Linked DNA regions of Callithrix jacchus. The protein of the gene in region 1 purifies or fractionates together with the protein of each later gene. This does not show direct contact. Links are inferred from orthologs where the notes say so. Each region holds a gene or a part of one and is shown in the gene's direction. Other genes may lie near its edges.

Region 1 (5,354 bases):
TGTGACAGTCATTAAAAATGGAAATTTGAGCAAGTTTTTTAGAGTGGGGCTGATAAATCCTACCAGATGTAGTTATTTTGAGGACTAGAGGAGAAAGATAAGTGATTAAGGGACACAAGAATGTACTGTGGTGACACAATCTGAACTGAAATTCATTAGGTTTGCTCTAAATTTTATTTTACATGCCTTTCACTTTTCAACTTATTTTAAGCATATATTTCCACCCACATTATAAAATCTTGACGGAAGTATATGCATTCTGCACAATGCAGAAATTATTACAGATGCCAAATAAATTCAGATTATCAACTAAGACTGAATGGCAATTAAAATGTATCTGAGGACATTCAGACCTATCAGGATTTGGTGCTTTAGATATTCCCCAGGACACATTTTTTTGTTACATTTAGAATCACAGTTGTTTTTTAGAAACATACACTTCAGGGTTTCTCAAAGTTGACCATGCATTCGAATCACCGGTAAAACAGTGCTGGGTCCCAACCCCAGAATTTCTAACTTTTGAGGTCTCGTGTCAACTTGCACTTCTCCTAAGTTCCCACGTGATATTAATGCTGGTTTGGGACTGATAAATTGTATCAGTTAGGCCTTGGCCTAAAGAAGGGTTTACGTCTGTAGAAAACTCACAGTACTAGATAAAAGGGGACTTATACACTGGACAATATTGTACCTCGTTATATAGAAGGACATTGATGCTAACATGTAGACTTAGAGCCAAATAAGCCCCCAAATCATTTTTTTACTTTTTTCATGTTGTTCTATGAAAATTTTGCTTATCTGCATATTTAGACAATCACACTGAGAAGAAAGCTGGTAACCTACAGAAAAGAATGTTATAAATCTATTTTGAAAGAAGTAAATTAAATACAATTACCTTAAAATTAGGCCTTATGTTTTAGTTCATATACATTTTGCTGGGGAAATAGCAGTTATGACAATAATATTCTAAAACACAAAATGAATAATTAACTATTAAGGTAAACATCACAGTCTGACTCAATATGTTTTTTTTATTTTTATCTGTTACTCATTTCTGCGGCAAGCAGTTGAATGTTTGACATAGAAAAATGAGTCTGTCACTTTAAAAAATGGTACAATAAAAACACTCAAACAAAAATTTTAGTAGGGATTATTATAACTGTAAAAGGAATATCTTTCTAAAAAATATTACCAGTGTTTCCTATCAATTTTGGGCTCGCCTGTTGCATAAAAGTAATAAGGAAGAAGACAAAGTGGACTTCTATTGGCAAAGAATGATTTACATGCTGAATGACACAATACAACTGTATTCATTTAATACAGGAAAAAAAAGCCTTTAATTAGAACCATTAAATGGTCATTAACTCATTGTCTAAGAAAACGGTGTTTTAAGAATTGGCACCAGAGAAATGGAAAATAGAATAATTTGGTAGTAAAGAAGTTTTATCATAATTCACAACTGAAATTTAGGATTTGAGAAAAATTTATTTACTCCATTATAAGAGTGTTCTTTATTTCAGCAGGAAAACTTGTCCCATGAGACCTACACAGACATTCTGCCTTCAGAATTCAGCTGCTGAATTCTGCTGCTGCTTTTCTTATTCAAACTGTTGGCATCATCAATACATGACTTTTGATTGGATCCCAAGGGTAAAAAATAACTTTGGTAGACAGCAGATACATAACAAATGCATAGATTATTCTGGGCATTTCTTTCTTTTGGTAGAGTGAAATTTTTGGTGTTGTTAAGAAGGGGAAAAATGCATTTAAAAGTCAATTTTGAATCAGGATTTTCTGCTCTGTTATTTTGTAAATTCACGTAACAGTTACAGAAAATATTGTTATGGTTTGGTACTGAATAGTTTTTGTGTTTAGAAGGCTTTAAAAGCAAATACTATGTCCACTGTGCTATTCTGGTTTGGATATTAATCAGAACACAGTTGAGCATTATTTGAATTCACAGAGCTTGCCATGCTGGAAGCACAACCTTATATGTAGTGACCATGGACAGTCCTATTATGGGAAACCAACTTGAGAGAGAAGGCGGGTCACTTGCTTGTGCGCAGGTCCTGGAATTTGAAATATCCAGGGGCCTCTACAGAATCCTGGCATCAGTTACTATGTTGACTCACTCAGTGTTGGGATCACTCACTTTCCCCCTACAGGACTCAGATCTTGGAGGCAATTCCCTTCAGAGAAAAACGAATAGGAAAAACTGAAGTGTTATTTTTTTAAGGCTGCTGAAGTGGATTGGTTTCTCGTTGTTTTTAAGCCTACTGAAGAAATAAAGTTTGAAGAACTTTTACCAGGTTTTTTTTTTTTAATTGCTGCCTTGATATACACTTTTCCAAAATGCTTTGGTGGGAAGAAGTAGAGGACTGTTGTAAGTACAAAGTAACTAAAAATATCTTTTACTGTGCCATAACGTTTAGTTTGTGACAAGCTCACTAATTAGGCATATTGATTTTAAGTGAGTAGTTTGCAAAGAAGCATAAATGTTATATATACTGCATATATATATATTTTTTTCAGGTATTATATTTTTCATTGGGAAAACCTTTCAACAGAAATGGAGTTTAAAAGAGTTTTTTTGTGATAGAATTAAACACATAATTTCTTGATTAAGAAACCACTGAAGTAATAGAATATGCAGAATGTCATTTGAGTATAACAGACTATTTTGATTGCTGTGAGATAGTTTGTATTTCTGAGTTATTATTTTGATTAGTTGGTACTTCTGTATTTAGTTACAGTTACATAAAGGTTACTGACCTGAGATATATTCTCAATTGAACTAATTACTGTATAGGAACTACATGGAGGCCTAAAAGTTAGGAAAAGTTTGTCTGACATATCATGGGGGAAATAAAGGATAATATGAGTTGGGATGGATAATTGGAAGATGGGAAAAGTATTGACAAGATTTAACTGTAATGTTTCTTACTCATATTTACTATTTCAAATGCTCTTTTCTGTAGTGTATTGTGATAACTTTTTCAAATAATTATTTCAAACAAATCACACAAATAATGATATGATCTATGCTCTCAAATGATCAGATGATCTCTTCTTGGGAAAACAACATACAAACTTGAGGAGATCCTAATTATATTTCATAGTAAAGTTACCATGTTGTTTCATGTCTATTATGAGCTAGCTTTTCAGTACAACTTTTTAGTCTGGCTTTCATATAGAAATGCAACTATTTTGTGTATTTTTAAGAAAGCCATGATGACTAATGAAGGATTTAAAAAGGGACCGAGGCACAACAGTAAAAATAATGTACAATAAGGATTGTGTGTCCCAGAGATGGGAGATTATCTCTTCCTCACCCATCTTTGACTTGTGGAATATAGTTATTCTAAAATAGGTATGAGGGCAATGCCTATAATTAAGAATGAAAAAATAAATCTTTCTAAATAAGTAATACTCTACAACTTCTAAAAACAAAATCAGAAGTTTGCCACTGTGAAAAATTTGTGGAAATAAGTTAACATTGTCCATGTATTGATTCACATTAAAAGCTATCAGATTTTATAATATAACAGTTAACTTATATTGTTTCCTTACTTCATAAATCTCTTTTGGTGAGCATCATTATTGCTTTCAGATTGAAAAACTGTTATACTTACTATCATTACAAAAATATGCATGGTATATATCTGTAGTTTGCAACATACACACATATTTTTTATTTGTTGTTTTTATTTCTTTGATATTTATAACATAAATACTATCAAAATCACTAGTGATTATATATATATATATATTCTACATAATTAAACTCATACACAAGTATATAATGCAATTTTGAAAGAATAGATGCAATTATGCTGGAATAAAGCAAGGTAAACCTACACTCTGTTTTGTCATAGATACTCAAATAACTCTCAATTCTTAGAATGTGAAGAAAGCTAATCATTTTGGGACATGTCCTGTAGGATTTTTTCACACTACATTTAAGAAATCATCAAGTAATGCCTATGCCACATGACAATGAATTTGTTAAGAAAAAAATAGAGATATTCTCAGGGTTATTTTATACATTAAATTTTGCTGTTTGTTAACATACTGCTATTGGGATGTTTGACATTTGAATCCAGTTTTAAAATTTGCCTTAGTTTGAAAAACTTACAAAAGTACATTTTGTTGTTTTTAACCAAATTAGCTACCCGTTAAAACAGATCACTGTATTGTCAAACACATTGAATTGTTTACTTTTAGAATTACTCAAATAATGCATTGTAAAGAATTATTCAGGCAGTGTATTGCAAACAGACATTTCATTTGAATATATTTAAATGATGTAAGTCATCTTGAAGTCTACTAAAATCGTCATTTAGAATTTCATTTGCAGAATCTTAAAGGCATTTTAACTATGAAAAAGAGATTGCTAATCTAAATTGATGATACAATGTTTAATACAAAGCTTTTGGTGTATCTTACATGGCATTAGATTATGAAAAATACATTAGAGTATGTCATATGTATGTTACTCTAAACTTTAAAAAAGACTACAAAGTGTTTCATGCATAATTACATTATTTAAGGGAAAAAAGATGTTGGTTGACACTATTCCACCTAGGCAGCACTGAATTGCAAATTCATAATTTGGGCAGAGATATTAATACAGCTTCCTCTTTAGTCCTATAGTATTCATTTGAAATCCCTGTGCTCCACGTCATTTGCTACGTAGGAAACAAATTGTCAAGTTTTTAACCACTTGTGTTGTTTAATAAAAGAGATTAAAATCATTGTCTTGGAAACATCAGGTGTTTTTCAAAATTCTATTTTATTATCTTTCATCACAATTTTATCTCAGGAGAAAAACAAAGTGACTTCACGAACTTTTCTTCTCCTTCCACCTTCTATTGTAATAATTTCCTAACTTATTGAAAATGATTTATCATACTTTTTCTTCAATTTATTCTTTATTTCATCACACATACAAGAAACACAGTATTTTGGTATGAGTATATATGTTTATATATACACACATTTATATGCATTCAATTCACAGGGTATTACATTTCCTAAGAGGTTCTAATTAGAAATTAACCCCTCTTTAAAGATAATCTTCTGTTCACTTTTCAAAATTTTCTGTTTTAAACACATCATTTTCTAAGCAATTGACAAGTGAGTCTAATGCATGTTCCCTGTTTGACAAAACAGAACAAACCATGAAGGAAGAATTTATGGGGCCCGAGGTTATACAATTTTGGGTGCTATTTTAAGAAAAAATAATACATAATTAGACACAGCCTTGGGAGGGGCCATGTAAATAAGGCTTTAATAGTTTCTTGGGAAATCACCTCTGTATGAAAAGCTGTGTTGAGATTGAATTTTTTCCCAGTTAT
Region 2 (5,254 bases), on another chromosome or scaffold:
TTGTCTTATGTCCTCTCTTAGGTGGGTTTCTGAAAAGCACAGCATCTGTCTGGAGGAAGTGACTTTGCAGCCTCCCAAGCTTAGAAGCTTTTGTCGGGCCAAGAGCAGGGGGCAGCTATGAGTTGTTCTCACTCACCACACAGCAGCTAGGATATAGGAAAAGGATTCTAGATGGGACACCAACAGCATCCACTGTAGTCACCCATGATTTTGTAACACTGGGTATAGAGGGTACTGTTCATCTCTGTGGTCTCCATACTCCTGTCCATGTCTTGCATAGAGAAGGCACTAGTTGGTGGAACTGATTTGTCAAAGATCTGGAGGAAATGCCCCCTGGTTTGCTTTTATTCCAATCCACTGCCATTTGTAATAACAAATACCTGTGAGGGACTTAACCAAGTCTCCCCAGGCAGCACAGAACCAGAGTATGTGGGTGATAGAGAGAGAACATGCAGTTGTGTATTGCATGTTCCAAGAATCTCATTGCCCTGTCAACTCAAAAGCTGTCTAAGGACCAAATGCTCAAATTCAGAATAGGCAAAAATCCTTCTTAATACCACGGCAAAACACATCAAGGAGCAGAACTTCAGTCTGCTCCACTTGGCTCTTAAGCTAGTTTTGTTTTCTTAAGCATTATGAAAGTAATACACACATACGGTTAAACACGAAAATGATATAAAAGAGTAATAAATAAATAGTAAAAGCCTATTTCTTAATCATTGTGGCTTTTATTTCCAATTCCCAGAGCTAACTTGTCTTAGCAATTTCTTATATTTCTACCAAAAAATAATTGTAGGCATATAAGCACATATTTATGAATTTATATACAAAGATATTACAGTATATGTATTTCTTTCTCCTTTTTTCCCTACTAATAATAGATCTTACAGGTCTTTCCACATCAACACATCCACACACACACACACACACACACACACACACACACTTTTTAAATGATGATATAGATGTCTTACAATTTAATTAATCTGTTCCTTTTTAATGGATATTTACATTGTTTCTGGCTATCAGCTCTTACAAATAATTTTTTTGCTATTACACATTTTTTATTTCTTTGTATGTGTTTCCTTAACACTATTAAATTGAAAGCCCTATCATTGTTTCTCAACAGAAAAATGGCATCATGAGTAGTGAATGTAGCTACCCTATTCCTTACATCTGTATTGAATAATGTATCTTTTAGCCTAAATTATCCTTGTTTTCAGCCTTTTTCCCAGAATGCAAGACTTATAATCAGAAAATGTAAAAATTGTCACAGTTGAAAAAAACTAGACACAATTCTCAACTGTAGGACATTATAACAGCAAGTTCTAAGATCCACAGAGCTATATAATTTTCAGAAATACAATCAGACTTCCCAGAAACTCAGTTTTGGTGTACTTAAAAGCACTTCCTGTCTTTTTGATTGCAGTGAAGTACATGCGAGAAGCCACGCCCTATGTGAAGAAAGGATCCCCAGTATCTGAGATTGGGTGGGAAACGCCTCCACCTGAATCCCCTCGGTTAGGGGGCAGCACCTCAGACCCTCCGTCATCGCAGTCCTTCTCCTTCCACAGAGACCGGAAAAGCATCCCTCTCAAAATGTGTTACGTCACTCGGAGTATGGCCTTGGCCGACCCTGAGAGCAGGTAAACAGAGTCAAAACTCTCCTCCGTATCTAGCAGCTACTTGGCCTCTTAGGCTAAGTGGGAGCTTTCACCAGGTTGCACTCATGTTCTGAAAACACATTGTAGCCTCCAAAGAAAAACATGAAAGGGCGTGTGTGTGTGTGTGTGTGTGTATGTGTCTGTGAGAGAGAGAGTGAGAGAGAGAGAGAGAGAAAATGAATCTATACACTGAGCCCTGGTTCTGGAAAGAGCTGAAAAACTGGAATCAGCATCCTAAATGTCTTCAGCATATTATCATTACCAGTGCATGTGACTTAGGGCAAGTTTCCTAAACCACTTACCCTCAGTTTTGTCGTCTCTAAGATGGGAATAATTGAAATAGATGCCTTGTTGGGTTGTGAGAATTAAATGAGGAAATCCATGTGGTGTCGTCTGCATGTTTGTCCCCTCCAAATCTCATGTTTAAATGTGATCCCCAAGGTTGGAGATGGGGTCCAGTGAGAGGTGTTTGGGTCATGGGGGAGGATCCCTCTGATGGCTTGGTGCCTGCCAGAGGTGGTGAGTGAGTTTTTGCTCTGTTAGTTCAAGTGAGAGCTGGTTATTTTAAAAAGCATGGCATACCTCCCCTCTCTTTCTTGCCACATGACTTATTGGCTTCCCTGCCCCTTCCACCATGAGTGGAAGCTCCCTGAAGCCCTCATCAGAAGCAGATGCCACAGCCATGCTTCCTGGTACAGCCTGTAGAAACATGAGCCAAATAAACCTCTTATCTTGTAAATCACCCAGCTACAGGTATTCATTTAGAGCAACACAAAATGGATTAATACACCACGTAAAGTACTCAGCACAGGAAAATCTTCCATGAATATAAGCTCTAGTAATGTTTCTTATTTATGTTAGACAGTAATAAGCAAATTCACCTTTCTGGGCCCCGGTGCTGTCAACTGTATACTTGGAGGGTTAGCTGAGAAACGCTTTAAAGCTATTTTCTACTCTAAGCATCTCTTTATGCTCATGAGAGCAAAAGGAGTGGCTTTGGTCCAAGTCTGGAATGCTGTTTCCCAGAGTCGGAACATGACTTTGCATGCCACAGGCTAGATATATCACCCAACCCATGGCAACTATAAGGAATGCAGCCAAGAGCAAGTAAAATTTGGGGTCCCTCATCCCCCAGAAGTCTTACTTTAGCTCAGTAGAAAACATATATTTTAGGAGGAAAATAAGATAAATAAAGACAGTGAGGAATTGAGCCAGCAAATGGGGAAGCTTGGTGACCTTTGCATCCACATTAAAGTGCTAAAAATAGGAACTGCTCAACTGGCCCTTATTTAGAATGTGTGTGGGACAGCTGCAACCCACCCGAACAGAAAGTATTTGGCTAGGTTCAGAGTTGCTGATGGGGAAAAGTCATCAGGAATAGGGGTAGGGAGAAAGTTCCTTGGCTCCCAGCTGAATGTCTTTTTTGTTCTCATCTCAGTTAGCTCACTGTAAGGATGCTGCCAGGGCCCTTCTGACTCTGGCCAGCTGCAGGATGTTTCTACCCCTCTCCCCCTACTCCTGTATTAGTTATTTCTGTACAGAGATCGGCCAGTTGTACGAGAAAGCCAGCAAGCATTGGGAAGAGGGGTAAGAGCAGACAGACTGGGAAGGAGACAGAGCTCATCACTGGTCCACTCTCGTTCTGTTCTCTGTTTTGTTCCCTACTGTTTCTTCAGAGTGTCTGGGCCTGCAGTCAATGTCGTGGGTACTCAGTCTCCTTTGCCTTGGCCTTCTGCCCACCCAGTCAAACAAGTCCCATCTCCCAAGGATCTGATGTCAAAGTTTTCAGTTGTGATGAATTCATGTTGTAATATTGAGTGCCCATTATGTGCTAGACATTCTGCTAATTAATGTAGACCAGAGATTGCAGAGTGGCAGCCTACAGATATGTTTTTTTGAATGGCCTGTCTAGTGTTTAAATAAATTTTAATCAGCTGCCATGTTCAATAATTGGGAAATTTCACATTTAAAAAGCCAGATTTCTGCTTTTCTAGAAAAGTTGGAGGAATTGGTGATGTTACTGGGCCCACATCGATGCAGGCAGGGCAGTGATATACCAGAGCTCAGTAGAGTTTTCTCCATTGACAAGGGAATGAACTCTTCTCACCACTCCTATGACCTTATGCTTAGAGAATTCAATTAATCACCTGCTTAATCTTTGAATTTGTAACCCTGCTTAGTCCTCTTAACAGCTCTCTCAGTTTCTATCATGTCCCTATTCTACAGACAAAAAATTGAGACTAAATATGTTTATAGATGTTCTCAACATTATATAACTGTTACATAGTCTAACTGGGCTTCAAACTGATGCCTATAAAATGGGTGACAGTGTCAGTTAATCATTTCCCGAAAAAATGCAAACGAAGACAAAAACTGACTGGGACATTGTAGGAGCCATTAATATACTAGGGAGAAAATTTAAGAAGATGACTTCTTGGGTTCCTTTCGGAAATCAACTTACATGCTACAATAGCACTCCCAGGTCATTTAATTATATGTTAAGGAATATGTTGGGGGACATCAGACCTTAATCGAGATATTGGAAACTTGAGTCTGTGTGTCAAGCCAGGAGAGGAGAATAAGTTTCAAGCTTTTATATTGGTGCTTGTCAAGTCTACCACTGGTGATTATACACAGGGCTTCCCTGTTCTGCCAGGGTGTGAGAACCATCAGGACGAATCCAGCTAAGCCAGATGATTCTCAAGGAACACCAGGTCCCGACAGGTCCCAAACTTCTGCTAACAAGAAGACTGGGGGCCTATGTGAGGCTTGCCCATGGTAGAGGAAGAGAAGAAAATAAACAGGAAACAAACATTTTGTGAAACTCCAGTTACAGGCTGAGCAGGGTATGGTGTACCAGTCAGAAACATGGAATCTGCAAAACCCAACTCTGCTGAATGCAAGAGACACACCTAACGGAGTGATTTTAAAAGGTGAAAGATACAAGGATGGGCAAAAGCTTACCAGGCAAATGCCAACTATTAAATAACAACAGAAAGCGTTGATTTTTGATCTTGATAGAAGACAAGGTAGAATTCAGGCTGAAAAACATCCAAGGTTAAATGTCCATAAAGTAGCACAAGGAAGGATTAATTGATGTCGAAGGCCAGAGTTCACAAGCAACATTCAGTAGTTCTGAATACATACCACATAACACAACAGCAACTTTTATAGCAGAAACTGCAGAAGATGCAAGAAGAAACAGACGGAAACATATTCACATTAGATATTTCAACATATACCATTTTCCATCCAAGTCAGGGCAAGTAGAGGACACAGATAAAGATAGTAACTCCCCCTTATTCATGGAAGAAATGTAACAGGACCCCTAGTGGATGCCTGAAACCATGGACAGTACTGGCTCCTCTACATACTGTGTTTTTTCCTATACATACGTATCTATGATGAAGTTTAATTTATAAAGTAGGCACAGTAAGAGATTAACCACAATGCTAATGAAATAGAATAATTATAATAATATGCTATAATAAAAGTTATGTGAATATGGTATCTCTCTCTCTCTCTCTATCAAAATGTTTTATTGAACTCACCTGTTTTTGGACTGCAGTTGACCTCAGGTAACTGAAACC
Region 3 (5,354 bases), on another chromosome or scaffold:
GACCATATTTTCGAAGTTTGAGGGGTACTGTATAGTGAAAATAGCCCTGGATCTGGAGGCTGGGAGTCCTAAGTTGTCTCTGCCTCCTTCCTGTAGACTTTGGGCTGTGGTCTCTCATCTTTGGCTCTCTGGCCCTCAGTTTTCTCAGTTCTAATCCATGAAGCTGGAAGAGCTGGGTGGATTGCATCACTTGTATCTGGATTACAGCCACTCCAGGCTCTGTAGTGTGCATAGCAGTGGCTCATGGCCTTTGGTCATGGCACCTTCCTGCCAATTGGATGAATCACAGGCTTCAAAAATAACCTTAGAGACCAAATTTTGCATACAGTTTTTGGGAATGTGCATGTACACTTGCCCCAACAAAAGGCCATGGCCTGCAGGCTAAGAAAGTCAGATCTACAAAGTCGAGTCCAAACTCTTTGATGTTTTCGCTTTTCATACTCATATCCTCCCATTTCCACTGACCTTATGCTCTGTTCACATTGGAATTCTGGCATCTTCCTCAGTAACCATCTGTGATGGTTAATTTTGCGTCAATTTGACTGGGCTAAGGGATGCCCAGGTAACTAGTAAAACATAACCTCTGGGTATATCTGTGTGGGTGTTTCAGGAAGAGATTAGCCTTTCCATGGTAGACTCTAAAGATCACCCTCACCAATATGGGGAGGCAGCATCCAATCAGTTGAAGACTTGAATAGAACAAAAGGGCAGAGGAAGGGGGAATTCACACTCTGCCTGAGCTGGGACATAGATCTTCTCCTGGTCTCAGACTTTGGTGCACCTGGCTCTTGGGCCTTGGCATGGGGATGCGGACTTACATGATCCTCCCCACTCCCACCCTCACCCTCTTCTCAAACTTCCTGTTTTGTTTTTTTTTTTTCCTTTCATCCTAACATATTCTATCATGCACTCAAACTTTCTGTTTTTAGACAGGGTCTCACTTTTTCACCCAGGCTGGAGTACACTGGCGTGATCTTGGCTCACTGCAACCTCCATCTCCTGGATTCAAGCAATTCTCCTGCCTCAGCCTCCCTAGGAGCTGAAATTACAAGGGCCTGCCACCACACCCAGCTAATGTTTTTATTTTTAGTAGAGATGGAGTTTTCACCACGTTGGCCATGCTACTCTCAAACTCCTGACCTCAAGTGATCCACCTGCCTCAGCCTCCCAAAGTGCTGGGATTACAGGCATGAGCCTCCTCTATCAGGCCCCTTCTCAGACTTTCTTCCCTTTCTTTTTTTTTTTTTTTCAGTTTCATTCTTGTTGCCCAGGCTGGAGTGCAGTGGTGCCATCTTGGCTCATCGCAACCTCCACCTCCTGGGTTCAAGCAATTTTTCCGCCTCAGCCTCCTGAGTAGCTGGGATTACAGGCACTCGCCACCATGCCCAGCTAATTTTTTGTATTTTTAGTAGAGACGGGGTTTCACCATGTTGACCAGGATGGTCTCGATCTCTCGACCTCGTGATCCACCCGCCTCGGCCTCCCAAAGTGCTGGGATTACAGGCTTGAGCCACCGCGCCCAGCCCAAATGTTCCTTTTATACTGTTCTGGGGACATTTTCTGTATGTCATTTAACCACGTATTATCACACCTAGTTGGTTGGTTCTGTATTTTCCTTCCCCACTAGACCGCAGACTCTCAGCTGTTGCTGGTACTACTGCGCTTATCTACAGGGCCTCAGAAGGAGCCGGAGTCCCTGGTTGAGCGCTCAGTACACAGGGTGCGAACCAATCAGTGCAAGAATGAACGTGCCACCGGGTCTTGCATGCTTGCAAAGTGCTTCTCCAAGCTGATTTTGCTTTTCGTGCCCAGGCAGCTTCCGTGAATTGCACGGTAGAGGTCAATAGTTTCTGCGGGTCCGTGGGGAGCCAATGGAAGGAGGATGAGAAATGCAGTCCCACCGCACTCGGGCTGCCCGCGTCCGGCGACAAGCGAGGGATCCGACAGCTTCTGCACCTCCCGGAAGCGGCTGCGCCGGCCCCGCCCCTCGGGAGGTGGGCGTGGCATCATGAATAATGAATCGCGCCGGGGAAGGGCCGGGCCCGCCCCTCCGGGCGGGAAGGGGGAAGCGCTGAGGCTGCCTGACTGGAATGAGGGTAGCTGTGGCGACTGCGGCGGCTGGAGAGGGGCCGGCCATGGCGGTGTGGACGCGGGCCACCAAAGCTGGGCTGGTGGAGCTACTCCTGAGGGAGCGCTGGGTCCGAGTGGTGGCGGAACTGAGCGGGGAGAGCCTGAGCCTGACTGGCGACGGCGCCGCGGCCGAGCTGGAGCCCGCTCTGGGACCCGCGGCGGCCGCCTTCAACGGCCTTCCGAACGGCGGCGGCGCCGGCGACTCGCTGCCTGGGAGCCCGAGCCGCGGCCTGGGGCCCCCGAGCCCACCGGCGCCGCCTCGGGGCCCCGCGGGTGAGGCGGGCGCGTCGCCGCCCGTGCGCCGTGTGCGGGTGGTGAAGCAAGAGGCGGGCGGCCTGGGCATCAGCATCAAGGGCGGCCGCGAGAACCGGATGCCGATCCTCATCTCCAAGATCTTCCCGGGGCTGGCCGCCGACCAGAGCCGGGCGCTGCGGCTGGGCGACGCCATCCTGTCGGTGAACGGCACCGACCTGCGCCAGGCCACCCACGACCAGGCCGTGCAGGCGCTGAAGCGCGCGGGCAAGGAGGTGCTGCTGGAGGGTGAGTGGGGCCGGCCGACGGGGCGGGAGGGTGGGCGGGCCGCGGCGGCTTGGGCTCGCGGGAGCTCACTTTGTTCCTTCCCTGCCGACGGGGCGAGCCGGTTCTCTCCCCGTCTCTTCCCAAACCCGGGTTTCTGGAACTTAGAGTGTGGAAAAACGGATGCTTCTTGCAGGAAAAGTTGGGCAGCCGCCGAAGTGTGGCTTGCAGCCCCTAAGGAAGACTCGGCTGAGATTGGGCAAAAAGCAGCTTCCCATGAAGCTCCCCCTCGGCCGGATAAGCTGACACTAAGAACTAGAGGGAGAGCGAACGGCTCGAGTGGGTCTGTCTCCGTTTGCCCGCTGAGAAGTGCCGGGTTGGCGCTTAACTCACTCAACTCTGGCTCTTCGGGGCGGGCAGGTCTATTAAAAAAAGTCCAACACCGATGCCAGCGGTATACTTGGGCAAACCACCAAAGCGCTGGTTAATTTATGGGAATTTAACCCATCATTGGCTCTCAACAATAACCAAAGGAGATCATAGCACTTCATTGAAGCCAGAAAGCTGAAACAGCAAGTCTGTGTGGTTAATGAACCTTAACAGTGGAGGATCACGTGTTTGAACATTTACTGCCAACTAGAGTTTTGCCCCTTTTGCAAGAGTCTGCTGCCAGCTTCCTTCCACTCACAGGCGCGCTGCTTCAAGACTATTACGGCTTTTGTAAGAAACTTGAAATGGTAAATCACAAGATAACTTTCAATAACCAGGATTATTCTTTACATTAAGTTATATATGTGATTTGTAAGTTGGATCTTTTATGATGAATTTGAAGTAAGGCAAAAATAAAATTCCTCTCCTTTAAGGACTCATGCATATTGGAGGTGATAGAGTAAACTGTAAACGAAAAGTCAGTTGCTTTCTTTAGCAATTTTTGAGAGGTCAGCTTTCTTTCACTGGTGATTATTGCTAGCTGTGTTGAAAAGAATATGAAAGAAGATGCTGTCCCTTCTTGGTCTCTTATTGGAGAAATGATAGAAAAATGCAAAACAACTTATAGGAAGGAAAGGGATGAAGTTGGTGATTATGTCGTGCAAACTGTATTTAAGTCCCAAGGGAATGCAAAGTTAGAAAGTAGTTAGTAGAGATGGAATTAGGCAGGCAGGACTTTTTCCCTGAGCCAGTTCTCCAAGGAAGTGATGGACATAGGCAGGCAGGGATGAGTCAGGAGAGTATTCCTGGCAGAGGAAGACAGAAGGGAAGGACCAATCATCAAACCGAGAGGCCAGAAGTCCAACTTGGCACAATAATTTTCAGTTTCTTATAAATCAGCTTGTGAATATTTGGAAAAATACTGGTTTATCAGAAATGATTTCATGTACACCAGTTGTGAAATTCGTGTCCCACCTTTATAATATCCTATTTGTAAACCTTGTTTATTTTGGATGTCTAGGTGGGGCTAGACACGGCTCGGAAATTTAGTGTTAATAGAAGGAGTAAAATTATAGATTGTGGTTTGGGTGTGTCTAAAAAAATTGTTATTTTGGCCGTGCGCGGTGGCTCAAGCCTGTAATCCCAGCACTTTGCGAGGTCGAGGCGGGTGGATCACGAGGTCAAGAGATCGAGGCCATCCTGGTCAACATGGTGAAACCCCGTCTCTACTAAAAATACAAAAAATTAGCTGGGCATGGTGGCACATGCCTGTAATCCCAGCTACTCAGGAGGCTGAGGCAGGAGAATTGCTTGAACCCAGGAGGTGGAGGTTGTGGTGAGCTGAGATCGCACCATTGCACTCCAGCCTGGGTAAGGAGCAAAACTCCGTCTCAAAAAAAAAAAAAAAAATTGTTATTTTAAATGTGTGCCTTGAAATTGGTCTAGCTAAGCATTTGGTTATAAATTCTTATATCCAGAATATTGAATTTAGTACTATTTATGTAGTCCTCAGTTGAACCCTTTACACCATATTTTTTAAAAACAACACTTTTTGGCCAGGCGAGGTGGCTTATGCCTATAATCCCAGCACTTTGGGAGGCCAAGGCGGGTGGATCACCTGAGGTTAGGAGAACCCAGCAAAACCTCCTCTCTACTAAAAATTCAAAAATTAGCTGTGGGTGGTGGTGCACGCCTGTAATTCCAGCTACTAGGGAGGCCGAGACAGGAGAATTGTTTGAACCCGGAAGGCGGAGGTTGCAGTGAGCTGAGATAGCACCACTGCACTCCAGCCTGGGTGACAGAGCAAGACTACATCTCAAAAACAAACAAAAAACCCACTTTTTGTGTAGGTATAGTTTGAACATAGTATTCAGACCAGCAAAACGAAAACCTTGTAGTAAATGCTTCCCAGTATTTGTTAGACTAAATTGGCCACTTATGCTTTTAGGAAGATGACAGCATAATAACATTTATTGAATGCCTTTTTACCTAACTCAGGTGTTACTTTATTTTCCCACTTTGTATAAGACAGTTTTTGTCCTTATAAGTTGTGAGGAAGTCAATATAGTAAATTTATGACGTTGCATTTTCAAGCCACTCCGTGTAAAAATAAAATTACTCAAAATATGTAAAAACCACTGAAAACAATGATTTAGTTGAACCAGTCAAACATTATTTAAAATTGAGAGCTGGTGTCCTATCCGGGTAGGCCACTTTTAAGCGATAGATTTTAAGTTTAGTCTTTAAAGTTTTCAAACTGTACTGGATTGTCCTTCCAT

The links.
Region 2: the proteins of DMD (region 1) and SNTB1 purify together in Homo sapiens (co-immunoprecipitation; 4 studies listed by BioGRID and IntAct, counting the BioPlex papers as one, with this or other methods). This does not show direct contact. The link is inferred for Callithrix jacchus from reciprocal best matches to the Homo sapiens genes DMD and SNTB1.
Region 3: the proteins of DMD (region 1) and SNTB2 purify together in Homo sapiens (co-immunoprecipitation; 4 studies listed by BioGRID and IntAct, counting the BioPlex papers as one, with this or other methods). This does not show direct contact. The link is inferred for Callithrix jacchus from reciprocal best matches to the Homo sapiens genes DMD and SNTB2.

The regions. Positions count from the first base shown.
Region 1 is NC_133524.1:34,128,270-34,133,623, reverse strand, and holds the start of DMD (dystrophin), read left to right. Parts: upstream 1-2,107; 5' UTR 2,108-2,349; coding exon of another isoform or gene 2,350-2,380; intron 2,381-5,354. UniProt on the Homo sapiens protein: Anchors the extracellular matrix to the cytoskeleton via F-actin. Ligand for dystroglycan.
Region 2 is NC_133517.1:76,670,541-76,675,794, forward strand, and holds part of SNTB1 (beta-1-syntrophin), read left to right. Parts: intron 1-1,429; coding exon 1,430-1,646; intron 1,647-2,140; exon of another isoform or gene 2,141-2,183; intron 2,184-5,254. UniProt on the Homo sapiens protein: Adapter protein that binds to and probably organizes the subcellular localization of a variety of membrane proteins. May link various receptors to the actin cytoskeleton and the dystrophin glycoprotein complex.
Region 3 is NC_133521.1:26,737,275-26,742,628, forward strand, and holds the start of SNTB2 (beta-2-syntrophin), read left to right. Parts: upstream 1-2,073; 5' UTR 2,074-2,090; coding exon 2,091-2,670; intron 2,671-5,354. UniProt on the Homo sapiens protein: Adapter protein that binds to and probably organizes the subcellular localization of a variety of membrane proteins. May link various receptors to the actin cytoskeleton and the dystrophin glycoprotein complex.